Alligator mississippiensis: one gene and its partners. The main gene of each other region encodes a partner of the protein of the gene in region 3 in a complex. Links are inferred from orthologs where the notes say so. Each region holds a gene or a part of one and is shown on either strand. Other genes may lie near its edges. The genes, in order: NTF4, FRS2 and NTRK2.

What was found.
Region 1: the proteins of NTRK2 (region 3) and NTF4 are in contact, whole or in part, in a crystal structure (PDB 1HCF), measured with the Homo sapiens proteins. The link is inferred for Alligator mississippiensis from reciprocal best matches to the Homo sapiens genes NTRK2 and NTF4. Residues at the interface, in NP_001018074.1 of Homo sapiens: Phe291, Glu293, Thr296, Ser297, Asp298, His299, Cys302, Pro304, Thr306, His335, Val336, His343, Gly344, Cys345, Asn350, Thr352, His353, Met379, Gly380, Trp381, Pro382, Gly383; in NP_001382418.1 of Homo sapiens: Gly81, Val82, Ser83, Glu84, Thr85, Ala86, Ser89, Arg90, Arg91, Gly92, Glu93, Leu94, Ala95, Asp98, Ala99, Ser101, Gly102, Trp103, Thr105, Tyr135, Phe137.
Region 2: the proteins of NTRK2 (region 3) and FRS2 are in contact, whole or in part, in an NMR structure (PDB 2MFQ), measured with the Homo sapiens proteins. The link is inferred for Alligator mississippiensis from reciprocal best matches to the Homo sapiens genes NTRK2 and FRS2. Residues at the interface, in NP_001018074.1 of Homo sapiens: Pro498, Asp499, Val501, Ile503, Gly504, Met505, Thr506, Lys507, Ile508, Pro509, Val510, Ile511, Glu512, Asn513, Pro514, Gln515, Tyr516, Gly518, Ile519; in NP_001036020.1 of Homo sapiens: Val26, Asp27, Asp28, Asp29, Gly30, Tyr59, Leu60, Cys61, Leu62, Arg63, Arg64, Tyr65, Gly66, Tyr67, Asp68, Ser69, Asn70, Leu71, Phe72, Ser73, Gly77, Arg78, Ile86, Ala88, Lys90, Phe98, Gln102, Met105, Gln106, Ser109.

Annotation. Positions count from the first base shown.
Region 1 is NC_081828.1:39,901,898-39,909,830, forward strand, and holds the start of NTF4 (neurotrophin-4), read left to right. Parts: upstream 1-4,576; 5' UTR 4,577-5,288; intron 5,289-6,300; exon of another isoform or gene 6,301-6,727; intron 6,728-7,161; exon of another isoform or gene 7,162-7,582; intron 7,583-7,761; 5' UTR 7,762-7,780; coding exon 7,781-7,933. UniProt on the Homo sapiens protein: Target-derived survival factor for peripheral sensory sympathetic neurons. May promote ameloblast differentiation and subsequent reduction in proliferation of ameloblasts.
Region 2 is NC_081827.1:69,859,286-69,867,098, reverse strand, and holds the start of FRS2 (fibroblast growth factor receptor substrate 2), read right to left. Parts: upstream 3,262-7,813; 5' UTR 3,127-3,261; intron 1,852-3,126; exon of another isoform or gene 1,698-1,851; intron 1-1,697. UniProt on the Homo sapiens protein: Adapter protein that links activated FGR and NGF receptors to downstream signaling pathways.
Region 3 is NC_081826.1:203,483,778-203,491,436, forward strand, and holds the start of NTRK2 (BDNF/NT-3 growth factors receptor), read left to right. Parts: upstream 1-4,448; 5' UTR 4,449-4,925; coding exon 4,926-5,128; intron 5,129-7,659. UniProt on the Homo sapiens protein: Receptor tyrosine kinase involved in the development and the maturation of the central and the peripheral nervous systems through regulation of neuron survival, proliferation, migration, differentiation, and synapse formation and plasticity.

The DNA of each region.
Region 1 (7,933 bases), on a different chromosome or scaffold from region 3:
TCCAAAAGCCAGGGGCAGGTGATGGGGGTTGGGCAGGGGAGGTGTGGGCAGTGAGACATGGAGGCAGCAGCTGCTTAAAGCATCTGCAGAACATCTGCGGGGAAGGAGGGGGAGGCGCATCTGGCTGCGAGGTACCAGCAGAGGGTTCCTGTGCCAGTGGTAGAGAGGATGTGGGTCCCAAGCCCTGCACACCCAACAGGGAGGGAACACTGAGCACAGAGCCCAACACCCAGTGCCGCCACCCTGCAGTGATGCCCTTACCTGCTGGAAGCAGGCCTGCACCAGGTTCTTGGAGAAAAGGTTGTGGATGAGGTCCAGGAAGGTGTCCAGGCTGGAGACCTCCTTGCTGTGCCTGCCCATGCCCAGAGCCTGCTTTATTTTGGGGTTGCCCAGGTGGATGGTGAGGATCAGGATGACACCCAGCATGGTTGTCAGCACCATGGTGCACACACAGTACACCATAGCCCACATGCCCATGCACCTGCTTGACCTGGTGTCTAGCCCTGCCAGTCCTGTGCCACACACACCCCAAGCCTGGCTATGGGCTGGACGTGGTGCGGGACCCTGGGATGCAGCCACCTCTGGGGTAGGCACATTACAGTCTGGTTATACGACACCTCCTCAACCAATGCTGAGATGCAGCTGCCTTTGGGGTGGGGTAAATTAGAGGGAGGCTATACAGGGGCTCTAATCTGTCCAAGGAGATGCAGCCGCCTCTGGCTCTTCCTCCCTGGTTGCAATTAGACTTCTAAGGGCTGGGTTTAGGGTAGGTCAAAAGTCGGAGGTCAGGGCTGGAGAGGGGAGGCAGGGGTTCACTCCCTGGACCTGTTTCTGCTTAGGCAGAGGAAGCAGCCAGACTCGTTCCTCAGGGTGAATGGGGTAAAGGGAGATGCTGTGGGCCCCACCCACTGTGACCTTGCCCACCCAGGAGGCCTCCCTGGTGCCCCTCACTCCCAACCAGCAGCCCCTTGCCCCCCAGCCCTGCTGGTGCCCTCCTGACCTGCAGCCCCCTGCCCCCCTAGCTCTGCCAGTGCCCCTCACTCCCAACCGCAGCCCCCCGTCCCCCCAAGCCCTGTTGGTGCTTCTCACACCCAACCAGCAGCCCCCTGCCCCCCAGCCCTGTGGGTGCCTCTCACTGTGTAGCAGCTGTAGCAGCCTGTGCCCCCCTCTCTAAAGGGTCAGGTCCTTTCAGGAAGCCCCAGGCCCCAGTCCTGCTCTTCATAAAACCAGTCTGAGCAGAACCAGCTGCCCCCAGTGCAGGGGAGGAGATTAACTCCTTCCCTCCCAGAGCAGGCAGCCAAGGGCTGGCTGTATATACCCTCCACCCCCATGGGCCCATTCCACTCCAGAGCTGACTGCATGGCATGGCTGGTGGAGGGGGGGTTCCCCTCACTCATACCCCCCACAACCCTAGAGGGAAGCTGGTGTTGGTCTCTCCTGGGGGGAGAAAAGGAAGGGAGAAACTCCTCACTAACCCCATGGGGTACAAGTGGACCTAAGACCAAGCCCCACTGACCTCCTCCTTGCAGGGATGAATAGAGACCCATCACCTGGGGGGGGAGGGCGCGTTCTGAGACTGCCCCAGTCTCCCCCCACCTTCAAGGCCCGTCTTCCCCCCCTGGCTTTCCTTATGGCTTTAATATAAAACACTATGGGACAAGGGGCCATAAAAAAGCCCTGGTGGGTGAGAGGCTGGTTGGTCGTGGGGGTCCAGGGGTTGGTGAGTACCTGTTCCCCACCCTGGTCCCCACTGGCTGTCCCTAACCCCTCCTTGCTCCATCTTCCCCAGCTTCCAAACCTCAGCCTTGTTTTTCCTATTAGTCCTGTTTTAAAAGATAAAACAGCTGTCTCTATTGGGGGGGGGGGGGGAGAGAGAGAGAGAGAGAGAGAGAGAGAGAGAGAGAGAGAGAGAGAGAGAGAGAGAGAGAGTGCGTGTGCTTGTGCATGTGCATGTGCATGTGCGTATGCATGCACATGTGTTGGGGGGGGGTTCTACCCTGGCTCTGCGAAAGCAATGGGGTCTAGGGGTGGCAGGAGCACAGATGCCTGGGTTCTAGCCTGACTCTGGAGGGGCCAGGGGGGGCCAGGGCTGGGGGTTGGGATGAGGAGCTGGCAGCCCGGTGGCCTGGGTTCTGTCTCTGCTGGGAAGGATCCAGGGGGCCTTGAGTGAGGTCATATTCATCACTTACAGAGGTCAGGATCCTTCTAGCACCTCCTTCTGGCTGTGGCTGCTCCTTTTGTCACCCCAAAATTAATTCCACTCCCCCCACACAATGCCCAGCCACCAGGAGGCAGCACCAATGCTCAGCACTCACCTTCCCTCAGCCCCCACACCCTACTCTGCAATTGGGGGCAGGGGGAGAGGGGGGGAAGGGGGTGGGGGGCTGTGAGTCAGGAGTGAGGGGCACTGGCGGGGATTTTGGGGGGCAAGGGGCTGCAGGTCAAAAGTAAGGGGCACAGGCAGGGTGGGGGAGTTCCCTGCCTTGGGCACTGTGCTGGGACTCTGGCGTCCCACCCCGTAAGCCCCATGGAATGCAGCCTGGGGGGGGCTGGGGGTTCGTCGGGACACGTTGGCCCCACCCAAGCACTGCCTGAAAATGGCTCCTGGCCAGGAACGCACAGGCGGGGGGAGGGCCTGACCCTCCGCCCCCTAGATCCATCAGCCCGGCATGTGGCACAGACCCCCAAACCCCTTAGCACCGCAGCACCCTGCAGCTTTCCCCCCTTGCCCCCATGTGCACCTACAGACACGCACACACCCTGCAGACACACACGTGTATATACCAATGGATACACCCAGAGACATGCATTTGTGTATACACTGGCACACATGTATACACCGACACATGCACACACATGCCCAGCACACACACACAACTGTGTATAAATCATACATATGCATGCATCTGTCACACATGTATACACTGATGCACACACCAGACGCACACATACATGTGTATACACTAACACATACATACCCCAGACATGTACTCATATGTATACAACAGCCCCCCAAACATGCACATACATGTATACACCCACATACATACATGTATACACCAACACATGCAAACATGCACCCCCAGACATGCACACACACACCCCCCCCACAGGTGCACACAACCTCCCACCTCACCACCCAGCCCCGCCCCACCCCGCCCTTGTCTCCAAGTACAACCAAATGACCAGCAAACATTTTCCCCCCCACACCACCATGAGGGACAAGCCCAACCCATGCCCCCCCCTCAGAACCCCTTTGCACCTGGACACACACACACACATACAACTTTATCTTCCCAGTGTACAGCAGGCTTATGCACACACACACTTGTTTGGCTTGTCCCCTCCAGCAGGGGGCAGCACATGCAGGCTCATACATGGAGTGGGACCTATGTGCTCCAGAAGGGGGGCTCTCACACACACCCCTCCCTCCAGCAGGGGGTCACACACACATGCCCTCCAGCAGGGGTTTCTCTCTCTCTCACACAAACACACACACACTGTAGGACAATGCACACATGCACAGACAGCATATGCCAACATGTGTACAGGTCCAGAGTACATGAAATACACACGCAATGTATGACACAAAACATGCTCATACAACATGCAACAAAACACACACAATATAGGACACAATGCCTCATCGCACCCCTCACACACACACCCTGGGCATAGATGGCCTCTGACGATCTGTTAACAGAGTTTTTTGGCAAGACTTTTACTTATTTTATTTATTTACTGGAATCCCCAGGAAAAGCACCAGGAGAAGCCCCCATAGGCCCTTCACCCACTGCTCATTCTTCTAGTTAGCCCACCCCATAGTGACCCCCACCCCTGGGACCCACATCCTGGGGGACCTTTTAATGGAGTTTTTGGGAAGACATTTCCATAGGTTTTTTATATCCCCTAGAAAAGCACTGGGGGGTGTTCACCCACTGCTCGTATGCATAGCTAGCCCACCCTGTAGTGACCCCCACCCTGGGGATCCACAAACCCAGGTGATCTTTTCATGGGGTTTTTGGGAAGACATTTCCATAAGTTTTTTCCCTCCAGAGAAACTCCAGCAGGGGGAAGGCAGCTTAAATGGTTTCACCTACTGCTCCGAGATGGTGTGTGAAACGCCCCCCCCATCCTGCCCCCCCCCGGGATCCCTGGCTCTGGGGGGCTGCAAGAGGTGTGAAGGGTATGTCAGGCTCAGGTAGGCCGGACTCTCTCTCATCGCCCCCTCCAATAAAACCAGCCTGGCCAGGCTGGGTAATAGGAGATGCACCCACGCCCCAGCTCAGCCCCCCCCCAAACGCACACACACAGAGCAGGACAAAAGGGAGATGAAAAGAGGAGGCCAGACAGGTCTGGGGTCCCTGGGGGGTGGCTGGCAGAGGAGCCGGCTGCTTTGTTCTCTCTGGCCCCCAGACGCAGGGGGGGTCTGGGGTTCAGGTTTCACGGGTGAGAAGTGATGGGAACTGGGTGTAGGTGGGGAAGGGAGGGGTGGGTAGGGGGCTTCAGGGGGCGGGCCCCGGCGCTGCCTGGCTCAGGTGAGCCAGGCCCTGCCCTCCTGGGGGGAGCCTCTGGTTTGGGCTGGGCGGGGGGCACCTGTGCCCCCTTGGCTCTGCCCTCTGGTGGCTTTGGCATGCCCCATGGCAGGGGTGGGGGGGAAGGTTCTCTGCCCCCCTGGCCTCCGACCCCATCATCACCCAGTCGCCCTGGGACCTTAATCAAAGCCAGATCCCGGGGAAGGAGAGGGGGTGGGGGAGAAGGATCAGGTGCCCCTATTGTGCCCCCACCCAGAGGCAGGTGGGGTGGGGGAAGAAGCAGGCAAGTGGGCATGGAGTACAGGACTCCCCCCCAGGTCCCTCCACTGGCCAAGCCCCCTCACCCATCTCCCCCAGCCCCCCTACCCCATCTGCCTCCTCCCTTCTTCCCCCTCTGTTTCTTCCCCAATAACTCGGAGATCAAAGCCAGGGGGGATGCCAGGCCCCCCCCATCCCAGGCCCCGCGCCCCCCCCTTCTCCCCGCCCTGCCATTCAATCGCTGCCCAGAAAACCGAAACCAGCCCCTTCGGCGGCGACTTTATTAACTTTTCATGTTGAAACCCAAAGGCTCTCTTGCGCACGCTGGGGCTAGGGCCAGGGCCAGGATCTGTGCCCAGTAACTGGGGGAGTTGTCTGTCTGTCTGTCCGTTCCCCATCCCACATGCCTTGACACCTCCCAGAGGAGCTGGGGATAGAACCCAGGCATCCGGGCTCCCAGCCTTTGGAGGGGGAAGAGAAGGCAAAGGAGATCAGGTAGGTGTGATGGGGAACCTGTAGAGTGGGAGCAAGGGACTACGGGTTGGGGTACCGGCAGAGCTAGAAGGGGGTGCAGGTTGGGAGTGAGGGGCACCTGGGGTGTGCAGGTCAGGGATGAGGGGCACCAGCGGGGCTGCATTTATGGCAGGGGTCCTTGGGGAGTTCCTGTGTGCTCTGGGTCCCTGTAAACTCATGCTGGGGGTTGGGGGGGGTTCCTCCCTGCCTGAGCCTGGGCTGTGGGGAGCTTCCTGGCAGGCGGAGGGGTGGGGGATTCCTGGCCTCCCCCCTCCCTCACTCACCTTCAGGCAGAGGCCGCCCTCAATGGGAAGCAGCTGGTGGAGAGGGATGGAGCCTCTGAGGTCTCCCAGGGAGGGGCTGCAGGGCCTGGGCTGCATTAGCTGTGAGTCAGGCCCCTGACAGATACACAGCCAGACAGACAGACTCCCCCTCCCCCCGCCCAGGCTCCTACATGGGGGCTGGGAGCCCTGGACACCTGGGTTCTCTCCCTGCTCTGGGAAGGGTGTGGGGCCTGGTGAGCCTGGGGCCCGGACACCTGGGTTCTTTCTCAGCTGGGGGGGGGCTCTGGTCACAGCAAGGCCCTGGATGCACCTTCAGCTCTGGTGGGTTTGCCCCCTCTCCAGTACCCAGGCCTGGCACAGGGTCCCCACTCCTCACACCTGTCACCCTGACCCCAAGCAGCACAGATTGACTCCTCTTCCCTGCCCGCGGCCCAATCCTGCACACTCGTCCAGAAACCTTGCCTGCTCCTGGTGATATGCCCTGGCAGGGCATAGCCGGCTGGGGCTAGCAAGGGGGCTGCAGGTCGGGAGTGAGGGCACCTGTAGTCTGAGGGGGGGGCGGGGGGGGCAGTAGGGCGGGAGGAGAGGGGCACTGGGAAGGGCGGGGGCTATGGGTCGGAAGTGAAGGGCACCGGCAGAGCCAGGGGGACAGGGCCTGCGGGTTAGGAGTGCGGGGCACCGGCAGGGCTGGGGGAGGCAGAGGGCCGAGACAGGCCGGCACTCGCTGCAGTCGCTCGCGGCGGGGGCGGGGGCGCTCGCACGGATCTGTCAGCGCCCCCACCCCAGCGGGGTCAGGGCGCCAGGCATTGTGGGTAACGCGGTATGCAAATCGCCCCGGGCCGGCCCCGCCCCCCACAGTTCTGGGAGCAGGGCGGGGGTTTCTCGCAGTCCCCCCGCGCTGGGCGTCCTGGCTGCCTCCCCCCGGCCCACACCCCATAGAGCCAAGCGCAGCCCCGTGGACACGGCCCCCCCGGGGCTCGCTCCAGGGGCTGGAGCTGCGTGGACAGCCCCCGCCTCTAAACCCCATGACACAGACCAGCCCGGGCCCAGGCGGGGGTGGACGCGGCGCCCACCCCCAGCCCATCCCCCAGGACTCGGCCCCCCAGCTCCAGCGGAGCCCGGCCCCCGTCAGGGCAGGTTGGAGGCCTCTGTCACTGGTGGTGGATTCCAAAGCTGGCGGCTGCGGGAAGGGGGGGGACGGGGGCAGTGAATGGAATCCAGATGCAGGCACATCTGGGGAGGGCGTCGGGGTCGAGTTGGGGGCTGATCCGACCCGCCTTTGAAACTGAAACCCAGCAGGCAGCTGTCCCGGGACCTCCCCCACATCCCCCATGCACCCAGCTACCTGTTCTCAGCCAACACGGGACGGGGGGAGGGGGACTGGGTACCAGGATGCCTGGGTTCACCCCCAGCTTTGCAAATACATCTAGCGAGTCAGGGCACAGGGATCCAGGAACCCTGGGTCCTCACCCAGCTCTGAGGGGGCTGCTTACAGCAGGGGGTGGGGGGAGCCCAGACACCTGGGTTCTCACTCCAGCCAACAGCTTTTCTGTCTTTCTCTTCCCTCCCAGGTCTTCTGAGTGACAGCCCCAGCTCCAGCCCCCCTGACTGGCTGAACCCCCCCAAACACTCCTCACCCCCCAAGTGTGGTAGATGCTCCAGACCCCCTGGGAGGGGCCCCCTAAGTCAGGCTGACCTTGAGACCCCCCCACTTGCTGCTGAGCCCATGGGGTGCCCAGGCCAGGACTGGCTGGTTGGTGAGGCCCCCAGGGTTGTGGGGGTCCTGATACAGAGCCCTGGTGCCTGGTAGGACCCGGGAGGGGCGGGGGGGCAGGGAGCAGAGCCTGGGGGACCCCCAGCCATCACCTGCCCTGGGGAGATCAGGAAGAGGCTGCAGCACTCTGCTGGGCCCAATACCGGAAGGGACATGAATCGGACCAGGGCCCGGGACTTCTGGGAGCAACGTGGTCGAGACCCCCACTAAGCTGGCAGGTAACACCTAAGGCCTCTCGCTCCCAACCTGCAGGCCCTCCCTTGGGTCCCAGGGCTGGGATATAGGGGGGACTGGGGCATGGCTAGGTGCTGGGTCCCAGGGCTGGGATGTAGCAGGGGATAGAGCTGTATCTCGGTGCTGGGTACCCCTGCTCTAACCCTGCTCTCCCTCCGATCAGGTCCCCTGGGTGCCCAGTGATGCCCATCCCGCTTCTGCCCATGGTGATGACATCATTCCTCTGTGCATTCCATGCTGCCCCCCTCCCCCCGCCTGCCCCAGATGCTGGGGTTCCTTGGGACGGGACACCGCCTCTCCCGGATGAGTGGGACCTGTACTCTCCCCGTGTGGCC
Region 2 (7,813 bases), on a different chromosome or scaffold from region 3:
TGATTTCACTAGAACTAAGCCGTGTAAAGTTAAGCACGTTTACAAGAAAAATAGATTTTAAACATTTTTTTTCTGGTCAAGTATTATTAGCAAGCTAATCTTGTCTGAACCTAGTTCTAGAGTTTGTATCAATGACTGCAAAGTGGCAAACAAGAATGAATAGCAGAGCACCTATTTGCACATAACTGAATGTAAGGTAAAACAGGCTAGAGCTATTTAAAGGCTGCTTAACAAATGGACTAGAATAGAATCTGGTTATTGAAAATACTTTTAGACATAACTACACACGCACAAATCATTTTTGAGAAAATGTTGAGAATTTGCTCTTTGTCCAATGCATCTGCCACTTAAGAACTAACATCTATTTTCACTGAGCTCTGAACTTAGTTTTAGTCTTAACTTAGTAAAGGTCATCTCTAGGCACAGCTACTACCCAACAGAATCATTCTAACTTTTATTTGGTTAATTAGCCTTGCTACTCACAGCCAGTGTATTTTATCCACATTTCTTTTATACGATTGATTTCCAGGTAGAACTGACCTAACATTTCTTTCCACCAAGCTAAGCTGAAATTCACAGTCTTGAAGACCATTTGTGGAGAAGTCCCATAAAACAGCAGCAGTTCAAAACAACAAAAATGACCATTTTGTGTACAAAGCTAAACAACATTTATAAAATAAATTCTCCCCTTTATAACACTACCATGGTTTGTTACATGAGTGAGAGATACATACATTGCTATGCAATATTTAAACAATAAGTTTGGAATCTATGCACATCTTTTTTAGAACTATTTTCCATATTATCAGAATCTAGGATTTTTTCAACACATTATAGAATTACTACACTTGAAGAGGCTGCATAGAAAAGATTACAGTCTTTGGTGGATACAAAGAATGGTCAAAATTTAAATTAAGACGCTGAACTGGAAAGAAAGCAAAATCATGGAAGGAAAAATTAAACATATGAATATGGTTACTGGAATACTGTTTTAATAAGCACTTCCAACACATTTTTGACACAGAAGCACATGTTAATCAGGGGGCAATAATCAAATGAAAGGCAAATGAGAAAGGGACTGAATTTAGAGTTTGATGGGTAATTGCTACCAATATAACATGCATTTCCTTTTTAAAAAAGGAGAGAGAAAAGAGTGTTTTCAGTGCAGTGGAAACTGAGGAATATGTATATGGGACTCCACTTCTAGCTAACTTCAGTACTGATATTGGGCACTTTCTGGAACTGAACCTATACATCTTAATAGCAAAACATTTTAATGCACCACGGAACCATACAAAAACCCATATAGCTTTTCCCCTTCTAGAAACTAGACTGCTCAGCTACTAAATTGCATCCAGAAGAATATTAGTGTAAAGAAACTGCCAATATCAAAGCAGCTTGAAATCGACAACTATTCAGGAAAAAAGTGCATGCTTTCTCTTTCATAAATTCACAATGCATCCACACCTTGAATACTGTACCCAGTTTTGGTCTCCACACCTCAAAAAGGGCACAAGAACCAGAGAAGATCCAAAGAAAGACAATACACATGATTAGCAGTCAGGTGGGGTTTCCATAAGAGAAGACATTAAACAGACTAGGCCTATTAAGTTTAGAAGAGAGATGCTTGAGGGAGGACATCAGGGTTTACCAAAATACTAAATGGCAAAGAGAAAGTAGAGAGATTTATTACTCACCCTCTCACAAGACAAGAACTAGGAGGGTCACAAAATGAAACGAGTAGGTAATAAGTTTCAAATGAACAAAAGGAAGCTCTGTTTCATACAGCATGCCATTGAAGCGTGGAATTCACTGCCATGAGATGTTGCGCAAGTTGACAGCTTAGCCAGACTAAAAAAGAGAGAGGATAAACTCTTGGAGGAAACAGTCATCAGTAGCTACTGAGCATGGGAGTCAGGGGTGCAGCCTCTGAATCAGAACTTCCTAGCCCAGCATTTCTCAGCCCATGGGTCAGGACACAAAAGTGGGTCACAAGAATATATGAAAGGGTCAAGAAGAAACTTTAAAAATGGATCAATAATGGATTCGCCTTTAAAGGAGAAAAACATGGGAAACCGTGGCTTTTCCCTTGCAAGCTGGCAGAGCTCCAGCCTGCAAGGGGCTGCTTGGGCCCCCCTGCCCCACACAATGAGGAACTGGGGTCTGGGGGCAGTGGATCAGGAGTGACAAGCACTGGGTTGGGACTAGCCATCAATGTTTACAAATGGGTCCTGGTACAAAAAAGGTTGAGAACCCCTGCCCTAGACCTTAATGCTAGAGGCTGCAAGTGAGAGAGAAACAGTGGGGAAGGAAAAAACCCTGGTCATACCCAGTTTGGTCTGTCAGCATGCACTCTCTGCCACTATGCAACTGGGAAGAAAGGGGGCCAGTTCCTGCCTGAAGCCCAGTGTGACACAAGAGACCAACCAAAAAGGACCTACAGCTTGACCCAGTCAATAGACATCACTTCTCCTGAAGCCTGTCCAGCAGAATAAGAAAGCATTTGAAGAGCACATTCAAAAAGAAGTTGCTAGGGAAAAAATAAAAAGGAATAAAAAAAGTCGCCCAAAAAGAGCTGGTCAGCAGCACAGAGCACCACAGAGGCCAGGCTGATGCCAAGCCTGACTCGTCCTACCTCCTTCCCCACCGCTAAGCACGATGTTGCACTGTGACTAATCACTCAGGCGCCTCACAGGCGCTCCCTGGTCACTGCCACCTGCGGACAAGCCGTGCGAGCACCGCAGCCGCGGGGGGACCTGCAGCACCACTCCCCCAGGACCCTTCAGCCCCAGGGCACCCGCCGCCAAGCGGGTCTGGGGAACCTCCGGGACAGCATCAAGGGGAGGGCGGGACACCAGGACCCTCCCGGCCTCCGTGTGCGCAGACAGGGCGAGGGGGCCCGCTCCTGCCCCTCCAGGCTCCCGGCTCGAGCTGAGCCGGCAGCAAACGCTCCCCAGACCGGGGCTTCTGCTCTCGCCCGTCGCCTCCCGCCAACCGCCCTGGCCGGCTCCGCTCCCGTCGCCCTGCGCGGGCTGCGGCCGCCGGCGCCTCACGGGTGGGGGGCACAGGGGGAGCCCCGGCCCCAGGAGACTGCGAGCCTGCGCACGGGGCCCTCCCGGCACTCACCTCCGCCATGAGCCCGGGCCTGGCCGCGGGGCCGGGCCGGGCTCCGAGTGCCGCCGCCGCTACCAACAGCAACTCCCAACAGCGGCACCAACAGGGCCTCGCTCTGGGCCGGACTCTGCCCGAACTACTTCCGAGGCACCCCCACAACTACTTCCGGGGGCAGCGGGAAAGGGCCAGGGCGGGGAGACACGGCCAAGGGGCCCGAAGCGGCCGGCGCGGGAACAGCCAATAGGAAGGGAGAGCGACTGGGGGGGGGGTGGTGGCTGCCATGACAACCGCGTATGCAAATCGTTCAGTGAGCGCGTTCAGTGACTGGCTGTTCTTTTGCATGGAGTTGGAGCGCGGGGCAGGCACTGCCCGTGCGACCCGGTGCTGCGGGGCAGAGGGGAGCTGTCGAGGGCCTCGGTGCCGGACGGCGTGCCCGCCCGCCCAGGGACACGGAGCTGGCTCTCGCTGCTTCGGCACGCGGATAGGGCACCAGTAGTATCGGTTCTGCGGGCCGAAGTGGTGGCGCCTGGGGCTGGATTGGCCAGCCGCCTTCCACAGCTCCTAAGCCTGCAGAAATAAGTCTAGGCAGCTGCATCAGAGGCCGCGGGGAAGCCAAGGCCATGTCTGGGGCAACCTGGCAAAAGCTGCAGCTGGTTTTACCCAACATGGAGAGAGCAGGGGGGGTGGGTCTCAGGGCCTTTCTCCTTGGCTGACATCCCGCTGTCATTTTAGGCGGTGCTCTGCTATTTCAGCCCCCCCGCCCCCAGTTTCTCACATGATTTCTTATAAAAAGGGAGGTGACAACACTGGCACTAAAAGGAGAAGTGTAAAGAGGTTTGGAAAACTGCAAGAAAGATACAGGGAAGTAGCACACAGCTGCCTCTGGTCCTCATCACAGCATGACCTTTGGGACCTTCCTGCTTTTAAAAAAGTTTAGGACCATGTCTTTCTTGCTTCCTTTCTGTAGGACTGTCCTGTGGTTCTTCAGGTACTGTCTTGTCAGCGTGCTTGTTAACAGGCGAGATGGGTCACTGTCCTCAGGAGTTTGAAATCTAGAACTGCTTATAAGTGTTTGTGAAATTACCTCTTTTGATCCAGTCAGTCAATATTTGGGAACCTGTGGGATGGGTGTTTCCACAAGGAGGAAAAACTGATGGTGGAGTTGTGTATTTTTTGGATGCAGTTCCATATACTTGCAAAAGAATGCGTGCCGTGCCCCAGGACACAAAAGGAATCAAACTTGCCGTAGTTCCTTTGCATCCCATACTGCCCAAAAAGCTCACCTTCATCCTCCTCTCAGGCTGTACTACAATTGCTTCTCTCTTATTCTCTGCCTGACTTTTTTGCTTCCTCCTCTATCTTCTTCAGGTTGCTGACATGCATCTCCACCACACACTACCAAGCCTCTTACACTTTCACTCAGCAACTCGATTCTGCCCGCTTCAATGAAACTTGTTAATGCTCTGAGTTTGGGTCAGTGGTTCCCTCCGTTGCAGCTGTCATACTTTAGAAAGTAGCTCAAGTGTTTCTTGCAAGATGGCTGTCTCACCTGGCTGCTTCAACAAGTTATTCCCCTGCTTTCTACATAACTATCCCACAGCCAGTCACAGAGGTTACAGTTTACCAAGAGAATTAGGCAGATAAGGTTCTTTGGGTGAATCTGATACCTTTTTATTAGACCAGCTTAACTATTTAAGTTGGTCTAATAAAACATAGATTCACCCAAAGAACCTTGCCTGCCTATGTCCTTAGACCAGCACGGCTACAACCTACACCCCTGTATCAAGAGAATTTGCATTCCTGCAAATTAAGGGAAGAGAGGAAACACATATCTTTCAAAGCACACTCATGCTTTATGCAGCCTTTTCATTGCTCTATTAAGGGCAATGTTTGTGATTCGTCTACTAAAAAAGCCAGCAAATTAAGATACCCTTATTATCGTGCTTGTGCCCATGTCAGCATATGGCTGTGAAATCATGGCACTGCAATCTGTCTAACCCCTTGCAAGTTGTCTCTTAGGATTCCTCAAGGGTTGTTGCAGGGGTGAATGGTCTGCTTTGCTAACAGATTATCTCCAGTACAAACAGTGGTGACCACCTTCTATAGATTTACCACTCCAGAGTTCCTTTCAAGCGATACAATAATTTCTTCCAAGATGAACTTAAACTAAAGTAAAAAGCCACCACCATCTCAAGTTCTTTTTGTTTTTGTGGTAATAATGTCCCTGACTTGTAACCACTGGCATCCGTGTCCATTCTGAAGAGGGTTTTGAAAAATGGGTAGGCTAAAATAGGAGCAAGCCATTTTCAACTCCAAAACAGCTAAATCTCACTTTGCTGGCCCCTAAATGGTTTCCCTCTCTCACCCAAGCTATGCGATGGTTTTCCAGTATTGGCAAACCTACAAATTAATCTTGTATAATAGGAGAAGAGAAGTCTACACATCTGAGTGCCTGGGGAGTTGGCTGGTACAGCACAGCTCCAATTTACCTTTTTGTCAGTAGAAATTGCCCCTCCGCCCCTCAGCGATCCCCACCCCTCCACCCACACCAATTATAAACAATGCACATTTTCTTTGGGTTCAGTTTCAAACTGGAAACTGATCATAAACCATCATTTCCCATTTTAAAGGTGTCAGAATGCTTCATTTGGAGGCTTGCCTGCCTCTTACATCTTTCAGCATAATCTAATATACCCACTGCACACCAATGGTTTACAACTCATTGGCTTTGCCTGAACCATATTTGTAAAGGCAATTTCCACCAACTAAATTCATTGAATGTGTTTCCCGACATTTAAGGCAATAGTGTAGCATAAGAACCAGTACAGAATAGAATAAAATAGAATTTATTTCAGTTATAGCTGTAATAAAATCAAGTCAAGTATTAGCACATCCACTGTGTCTGCTAACCACATTTTGCCCCTTTTTAAATAGGTGTACACTTCTCAACTGTAGTCTCCATTTGAGATGAATTAGATCAAATCCTGAGCTACTTATTTCTTCACAATTTTAGTACAGTATATTTGAGACAATATCCACAACCCCCACACAGCATGCCACAAATCCTATAACACATTTTATAACCAGATTCCCGTTATTGTAGTCTAACTGCCCAGATCTTTAAAAAAATCCTATTGGGGCTGATCTTTATACCTCTAAACATTGTGCTTTCATAATTGGGATTGGGTGAGAGGCTTTCACTAGGAAATTCTGACTCTGTCTTGGGGAGCATTATACATATACTTCACCCATCAGTTCCAATAATGTTTCCTCTCATCTTTTGTCTAGCAATGTGTTCCATTCTTCTTGCAATTGTACTGGCTGTATGTGAACATGTGTACTTGTGGTACCTTTGCTTTAAGGTCACACTGGAAAATTTTCTCGCCAAATGTATGCATAACTTTCTTTTAATTTGGCTTTGACCAGGTTGCCTGTTCATTTCCTTGATGAGCCTATAGAAATATAGATGACAAGTGAAATGCTAAGACTAATTACTCCAAGTTGCTATATGAATTAGCATTTAATTGTCTGTACAGAAGCAAATATACAGAAATGCTTAGAGACAGTGTGCTTCCTAATATGCTTTTATAATGGATTACAGAAGATAACTGACAGTAGGAGTCAGAGCTATTAATCAAACATTTGTTATTGAATACATATGGCATCCATTTTTTAATTCCTTCAGAGAGACATTTATATGATACCCCTAATTTCTTTAACCATAATGTGTAGGAATTGAGAATAGGGTGATTTTGCTAATAACCAAGATGAAAGGTCTGCAAGTGGAATTTATGAACTGCCTACCAATTTAATGTTTGAAAATCCTAAACCCTTAAAGAGAACTCCATAGAACTGAAATTAATAAAAGTTAATATCCTTTATACACATGGACCCAGTCATGAATGGTTAAAGTTAGTGAGAGTTTTGCTATTTATTAGAAAAAACATACAAACTACTGCAGTATGGATAAGACACCATTCTATAAAAAAGAGAGTTTAAGAAGAACACTTCTTTTTTATATAATTGCTTTCTCCAGTTGTAATAAACATGCATTTTATATTATTAAATACAAAAGGCAAACCTTTCTAAAGACATGAGAGTATTGTATGTTAACAGTTTTTGAGGAGCTTCTCACCATTTATTTGAACAGTGAAGGATGAAATAGATGTTTTAAAGTCAATGAAAATATTTCCAAAACATAATACAATTAAGTCTGGTTTATCATGAACAATAATTATATGTTACTCACAAAGATTTTTCCACTCAACAGTAGAACTTATGATAAAACCAAATTTTAAGTTCCCTATCCCTTTAATATAATTACATGCTGAGTAGAAATTTCTGTTTTCAGAGGCTCTTATATCAGCAGAAATAATTTCATGTTGAGCAGTACTGAAAATAGCAAAGGGCAATTCTTTTTGACACAAAAACATTCTCTTCCAGCGATATTAATTCCCTCATTCCAAAAATAAAGTATGTGGTTAAAACTCAAACCACGATTATTAGAAGTTGTGTTGAATTTTCCAGAAACATTAAAACAATGCTGGATATTTCCAACTCAGTTTGAAAAAAAATATATATAAAATTTGGTAACTATTCATTTAACTAATGCCCTGATTCTTTAAACAGCCTTGCATGCTTGAGTGATCCATCTACAGTGATCATGTGTTGATATATTCATGAGCTTCAAAGGAAAAGA
Region 3 (7,659 bases):
ATAATGATTTTGATAGATCTAAAATGACCATAATTGACACATTTTGTTACCTCCACTGAGATCCAGCTGTTCTTTCCTCCCTTCCCATGCCCCTGAAAAGTAAAGTTGCCAATACTGAATACAACGTTGATAGATAAAGCAGCAATCAGAACAGGAAGAAGGCAGGCAACCGGTATGAGGAAGTTATGGGTTTTTGATACTTTTTCCTTCCTGGAGATCTCATCAGTGGGTCACAACCTGTGCTGAATGGAGCTGAGAGGAAGCAGAATTGTTCTTTCTTCTTAATAGTGAGATGGGACATCTTTTAAAATAATTATGCCAACAAGGGTAGAAGTTATATTCCCAGGTCAGCTTACACCTAGGAAATAATTAGGTACACTATGTGCTAATGCAAGAGAATTCCCAACAGTAAGTCTTTTAGGGCTTTTTCTATCCCAGCTTTTAAAGATATCAGTTAAATCCACAAACATTTTTTTGGATCCTTTGGCAATGTGTTAACAGTGGTTCCATTAACGACAGTAAAACAACCAAGCCACTCCCAAATATAGACTGAATTTTTAATAGCACTGATGGAAGTACTCTTATTAATTGGGATGAACATGCCTGATTTTGAGTGGTGCACATTAATGGATTTATACTGGTGCAAAGCCAGCATAAGAGAGACCCCCACAAATTTTGTATTTGGAGAAAATGACAAATTAGGGACAAACAGGACCACTATCAACCCTCAACATTTCTCAGAGAATGCCATGCACTCTTATCAAACTTTAAAATGAAAAGGTGTGTATGGTCTGCAGATCTTTGGAAAGGACTCATGAATCAACAGTTGTCTACAGGCCACAGTTTGGAAACCACTGCTCCAGAACATGAACATTTACAAAGGGTAGAGTTATCACAAAACAGATATGAAGGCAAGACACAAATCATTTTCTGTTAAATCAGTGGCCTTACCAATATCTGTGAATTCTCAGATATTTTACTGTGGAAGCTGGTGTATAGAAAGAGTGATAAAGGAGATGCCAGTTCGCTAACACAAAATCCCCGTTACAAACAGTTCCTGTACAACGTATGCGTTCATCAAAGGCAGTAAAAGGCAAAAGAAACACATGTATAAAGGTTGTGAGCTGAACAACCATTAAAAAAATAAAAATTCTATTTTGCAACCATGTTCAATGTTTTGAAATTAGTTTTAATTCTAAAATAAAACTAAAACAAAACCTTTCAGAAGTTTTCGCAAAATGGATTTATGTCTAAACATCTGTTTTGATCTTTTTCTCTTCAGAAAGTCCAGCTGGGATCTAAGAAACAATCATATGAAAACTTTAATTAGAATAGGTATGTTTTTTGTAAACCATTTCTGTTTAGAAAAAAAAATGTATACTTTGACCAAAAAAAAGAAGTCTTCAGCAAAACATTTGCAACCAGCTATTGCTGTAGGCAGAAATATTTTCTACTTTATTTTATGCTATTAGTTCATTTTCTATTTTTTTTCAGGTTGTTATATGGTACCCAATCCTCATATTATTCTTCAGGACTATTTTGAGATTGTTCCCATTATTGTTTTTAGAAATGACATAGTTAAGCACTTGGCAAGAAGGGGATGTACTCTGAAAAGAAGATTTATGTCTGGATAACAATTTTTATCACCTTTATGCAGATTGAAAAAAAATTAATTTAACAAGATAACATTGTTGGCAATATTTTCAATTATGTCTGTTTATCATATGCTCATTCATTCCATTAAAGAGAGGTATAATGTTACTAATATGGTTATGACTATTCTAATAAGATGATGTAATTTTTATGTGGTAGTGATTACGCCTGTGTTAAGCCTTTGAGCACATCCAGTGCGAATCAAATGTTTCCTGAAGCCTAAGTAGATTCAGGCAAAGCTAAGTGCTTATGCAATTAATAAAAGTGCAGTGCCAACTTGACTCATGAGTACTTTCTAAACATCGTGATCACCTCTTGTTTTATGCTTCCTTAACAATGCCTATGTAGCTTTTTTCTCTCTAATTCCCCAGTGAAATGGGAGTTGGTTACATCAAAGGACTGAGCTGGAATATACATATATGAAATTAAGATAAAAAAGGCCCTCAATGTCATTTCTATAAAATGGTGAGATTTTACCTAACAGATTGGAAGCCAACATGGAAGGTGACTGGTCACTGGCTATTTGGCAGAAGATCAGGATTGGAGAAGGACAGAGAACAACTGCAGAATGAATGGTATGAGACCAAAACTTTAATTTTACATAAACACAATTCAGCTTGAACTGGCCACTCCCAGACATACACCTACTAATGAGGACCTGTTAAGTGCCTCACTACCTGCAGAGATGTCCGATCTGGCTGCACGTACAGTAGAAAATGTGATGTGCAAGCCCAACATCCAAAAGACATGAAATCTTTTGTGCAGGCTACTACATAAGGCCACTCTAAAAGAAATGACATTCAAGGGCCCAGAGTTTAGCACATCTTGTGCTCAGCAGGTGGATTGCTCAAGACTGGCTACCCTGAGATTTGTATTTTAACAAACCCAATGAAGACCAAACCAAACCATGAAAGTCCCTTTGTTTGGTGGACACAGGAATTTTCTTCTTTTTCATCTCCCACTGTGGAAAAGTCGGCCTGAACAGCTATAATTAAACATGGGAGCTGGATCCTACTCTCGTGTGATCAAGGCTGGATTAACGCATGGACCCACAGGGCCTGGGTCCAGGGGCCCCTGCCAATCAGGGGCCCCAAGGGTGCAGTAGCAGCATGGCCCAGGCAGCCATCCTGGCTGCAGGCATCTGGGGCAGGCAGTGTGTTCCTCCTTCCCTCAGGCTGGGCCAGGGCCAGGGGCTAGGGCCAGGTGCCAGGCTCCTTGGAGGCAGCGGTTGCTTCCCAGACCTGTCTGCTGCCAGAAGCCCCATGGGCAGCTCTGCTCTCACTCCCCACCATTGCAGGCGGCCACTGGCATCAATGCCACTGGGACAAGACAGGGTGGGACAGTTCCGCCCCATCAGGCAGGGCAGAGGGGTGGGCTGGCATGCAGTTGGGGGTGGTACAGAGCTTGTGTCCTGGCCTGCCCTGCAGTGCTGGGTGACTGCAGCTCTGGCTGCACAAGATCTGCCAGGCAGAGGGGCCCAGCCAGACTGGGTCTGGGGTCACCTTCACCAGTGGTGATGCATAGGGGGTGCACAGGGGTGCACGTGCACCCCCTGAGAGCACTGGTGCACCCCTTGACAACCAGCATTCCCCACTTAGGTGACAGGCAGGGAGGGCAGAAGGGAGCACTGGTGCCCCCCCTGTGAGTGCCAGCCAGGGAGTGGGGGCACCAGGAGTAGCACAGCTGGCACTTCTGGGCACGCCGCTGGCACTTTCAGGTCAGCATGCCGCTGGCACACCTGGGCATGCTGTTGGCACTTCCGGGTCAGCACGATTGGCTGCTGGTTGGCGCAATTGGGGTAGGCGCAGTCAGCTGCGGGGGGACCCCACTCCCGGTTGCTGACTGGCCGCTGAAGCACACCCCCTGACGCCAGTCGCCCATGGCCTTCACTTCAGCAGCACTCAAGCCCCCTGACTTGTCCCGGACATGCCAAGGAGGTGGGATGGGCCCAGCCACAGCCCCCTGGTGGGCTTAGAGCCAACCTGCCCTCGCCAAGAGGTGGGGGTCCTCTAATTTTCTGTTTGTCCAGGGTCCCAGTAAATCTTAATCTGCCACTGATGGTGAAACAAGATTCCTAATGAGAGGACTTAACAAAAGGCCGCAGGGCTGGGAACAACACCCCGTGCCCAGTTCCCTTGAGGGGCATGAGGGTGGCGAGGTGTGGAATCAGGCAACGCAGGAGCCAAGGCTTTCTGCAGGTGGCACCCGGGGTGGCTGCAGGCGGGTGCAGTGCAGGCTGCGAGGCACGGGGTGGCGCCTCAGCTCTTTGAAGTCTGAGGCACTGCGGTGGATTTTCTTTTAAATGACTGCGGAAAAAAAAGGGGTGATGGGAAGGGCGGGGGGGTAGTAAGGGAGAAAAACCCAACCTCTGGAGCCACTAATGAAAAGCCCAAATTCCCAGACAAGGGAATGTCCGTCCTTCCTCAGGCACCTGAGGGCTGAGAAGGGCTCCCTTTGATTAGGAGAGGGGAGCAGGTCCCTGGGGAGCACGGGGGGCGGCGGAGGGGGGATGCGGCAGCGGGCTCGGGCTGGGGAAGGCGCGGGGCCGTCCCTCCTCCAGCCCAGAGGGTGCCTGAGAAGCTGGCGGGGGCCCGGGAGTGGTGCAAGGCGGGCGGGGCGGGGGAGATGAAGAGCCCCTGAGCTGTCCAAAAAAAAAAAGATTCACAGAGCATGAGGGGCGGGTGGGACTCGAGTGCAGCCCCCCGTGCTCAGCTGCACAGCCCCAGAGCGGGGGGCTTCTGGGCAGGGGCTGAGCTGGAGCCCGGGCGGGAGGGAGCTGCGGGCGGACGCTGCCCCCTTGCCAGCCCCAAGAAGGGGCACGCGGCTGCGGGCTGCGCTCTCTCCGCGCGCGCGGCGCCGCCGCCTATTGGTATCTCCTTGCAAACCGCCCCCCCTTGTTGCTTTTGTCTTGGTTTTTTTTTTTTTTTTTTGGCTGATTTGGTGGAGTTTCTGCCCCTCTCTGCGTCAGCCCCACGTAATCAGCTCGCCGGCAGCGCCCGGGCTGGGGCTTGCAGCGCACGAGCCCGGGCTGCTTTATTATCAGGCGGAGGGAGGAGACGGGGCGGGAAGCCGCCGGCCCCGAGCCCCCCTGGCAGGTAGGAGCAGCCGCCGCCGCCACCTGCCCCCGCCGCCGGGCTCTGCAGCATCCGCGGCGGCAGGTGCTGCGCGGGCGCGGGCGGTGCCTGGGGCCGGGCGCTGCTCCGCGCAGCCCATGTGAGGCCGGGCCCGATGCCACGCTGAAGCTCCGCGCCCAGGGAAGAAGGGGCCCAGCCATGGGGCCGTGGCGAAGGCGGTGGCAGGGCCCCGGGCTGTGGGGCTTGTGCTGCCTGGTGCTGGGCTCCTGGCCGGGGCTGCTGGCCTGCCCCACGTCCTGCCGCTGCAGCGCCTGGCGCATCTGGTGCACGGAGCCCGCGCCGGGCGTCGTGTCCTTCCCGCGGCTGGAGAGGAGCGCGGAGCGGGACAACATCAGCGACATGTGAGTAGCGGCCGGGGCGGGGCGGGGCACGGGGCACGGGGCACGGGGCACGGGCGGGGAGGGAGCCCCCGGGTCGTGCTGCCCGGCGCGCGGCCCTGCTCTGCACGTCTGTCTGCGCCGCGGGGCAACGGCCCCCTCTTCCCCGGGGCCGGGGCCGGGGCCGGGGCCGGGCGGGCAGCTCCGGGCGCCTCAGCAGAGACACCCGCTGCCCCTCTGCCTCGCTCGCCCCCGAGGCTGACGCTTTCCTTTCGGGATCACTCAAGCACCAGTTCTATCTACCATTAGCCCTAGGTATAGATACATATATTAGCCCTATATAGGATATAATATAATATAATATAATATAAACATAAATATGTGTATATATTATATACACATACAGATAGATAGCTAGATAGATATAGAGTATAGATATGGTATGGAATATCCATGGATATGGAGTATGGAATATGGTATGGATATGTATGGGTAGGGAATAGATCTATATATATCTGTGCATGTGTATAATCATATATATACACTTATATGTGTATATATATTAGATATTAGACATATATATATATCAGATACATATATGGCTAATATATTATATTTTATATATATTATATATATGGCTAATACTAGTCTTCCCTGCAGCCCTCTACACACACACACACACACACACACACACACACACACACACACGTATGTTTAAAATACATGTACATATATACATACATGCACACGAATATAGATATATGTATATTTGTGTTCATGTATGTATATATATGGTGTGTGTATTATATATATATATAATACACACACACATACACAGTAGTGTATATATACATACACGCATATGCACACAGAGGCACGCACACATTATATACATTCCCACTCACATATATATAAACAGGCACACACATCTACATATATGTGCACATGCCCATGCGCACACACGCACACATGCACACACAAGAAAGAACAAGGAGGTTTTGCTGAACACCGTTGAGATGATTTGGGAAGTGATCCGTCAAGCTGAGAAGTTCCGTGCATTGAAATGCACTTGTTCAATAAGAAACAATGCAAGAGTTGGAAGCCTAAAAGCCCAGCGTGATTTAATTTAGGGTTGACTTTCAAGAGATATCATTTCAAAGCCATTTAGATTATAAATCTTAATTGCCCCCAGCTACAATTTCCTGGGAATAAGTTGGATGATAAAGCCATACAGCCCATAGGTTGGTACTGATTTTAGTACATGACCAATGTGTAATAATAATAATAATAATAATAATAATAATAATAAATCCTTGACAGATTTTGCTAGGAGTAGGCAATTCATTAGCTATTGTTTTATCCCTTTCTCTTACAAATTGTTGTAGATCTCTAAGTAATTAATGCACACTGTCCATCTTTTTGTTGACAGTACATTGAATAGGTGATTCTTTCCCCTTGCATCCAACCTCACTTGGTAATATGCATGGACACTGTTTTGCACTTGCTCCTTGTCTGTAAGGTAGCTTAGAAAGGCTGCAACATCAATTCTATGTATCAGTTCAGAATCACTCATTTTCCCCTAGTTGTACATAACATGTATTTCCCTTGTAAATTCCCTCATCATTTATAAGGCTTTGACAAGTGTTCTACCTGAGCCATTATGTTGTTTGAATTGCTGTTAGCCAGACTGCAGATGACACTCAAGTAGTGGGGTCTGTACTTGTTTGTGGTCCAATCCTGCATTTTATACTCAGGCCACATTTTCATTGAAGTCAGTGTATTTTGTCTGAGAGAGGCATCAGAGTTAAAAGACTCTGAGTTTGAATCAAAGAATAGAAGTTAGAGATGGAAAAGACTGCTATGGATGCCTTGCCTACCCCCTTCTTCTCTTTCCCCTTCCTGTTCCTGGATTGTTTTTTACAGTGTTTTTAATATATAACATACTTTTTTTTTGCCAAAAATTGCATAGAAACCTCACCATCCCCTTTCCCTTTTTAGAATGAAAAATCCCATGTAATTCACTATAACTTTTGATTTATTCTTCCCATTTGGCTTTGTGCTGCTCATTGTAGACCCTTTGCTGCTTTTACCTATGTGTGTGCATGGCAGAGGGAAAGGCTGGTGGCATTTACTGTAATTACTATTTGCAGGGCCTACATTAAATAGATCCTAGTATTTTTGTATTGACATGAGACAATGGAGCACCATTTCTAGTCTGGTATGGCAAGGATCATTTCAGAGCTTATTCCACATTTTTTGTAATGTGAATTAAAAAAGACACTTTATGCCATGCATTGCTACTTGTTTTTTGCTGCTTTGCCTTCCTCCTTATTATCAAATAGCTTTAATTTAGAGGTGATGTCTGGTGATAGGCCAGAAATAAAACAAAATAATAAATGCATATATATTTTGCAAGATGGGCCAACCTAAAGCATGTTTTCTTGTGTTACACTTTGAAAACTTCACATTTGTATTAGCTGATTTTTCTTTTCTGTATTTTTCGTCAGTACCAGCCGCCTTGTTTTTCACTGCATCACCCTGTGGCATTACATCTT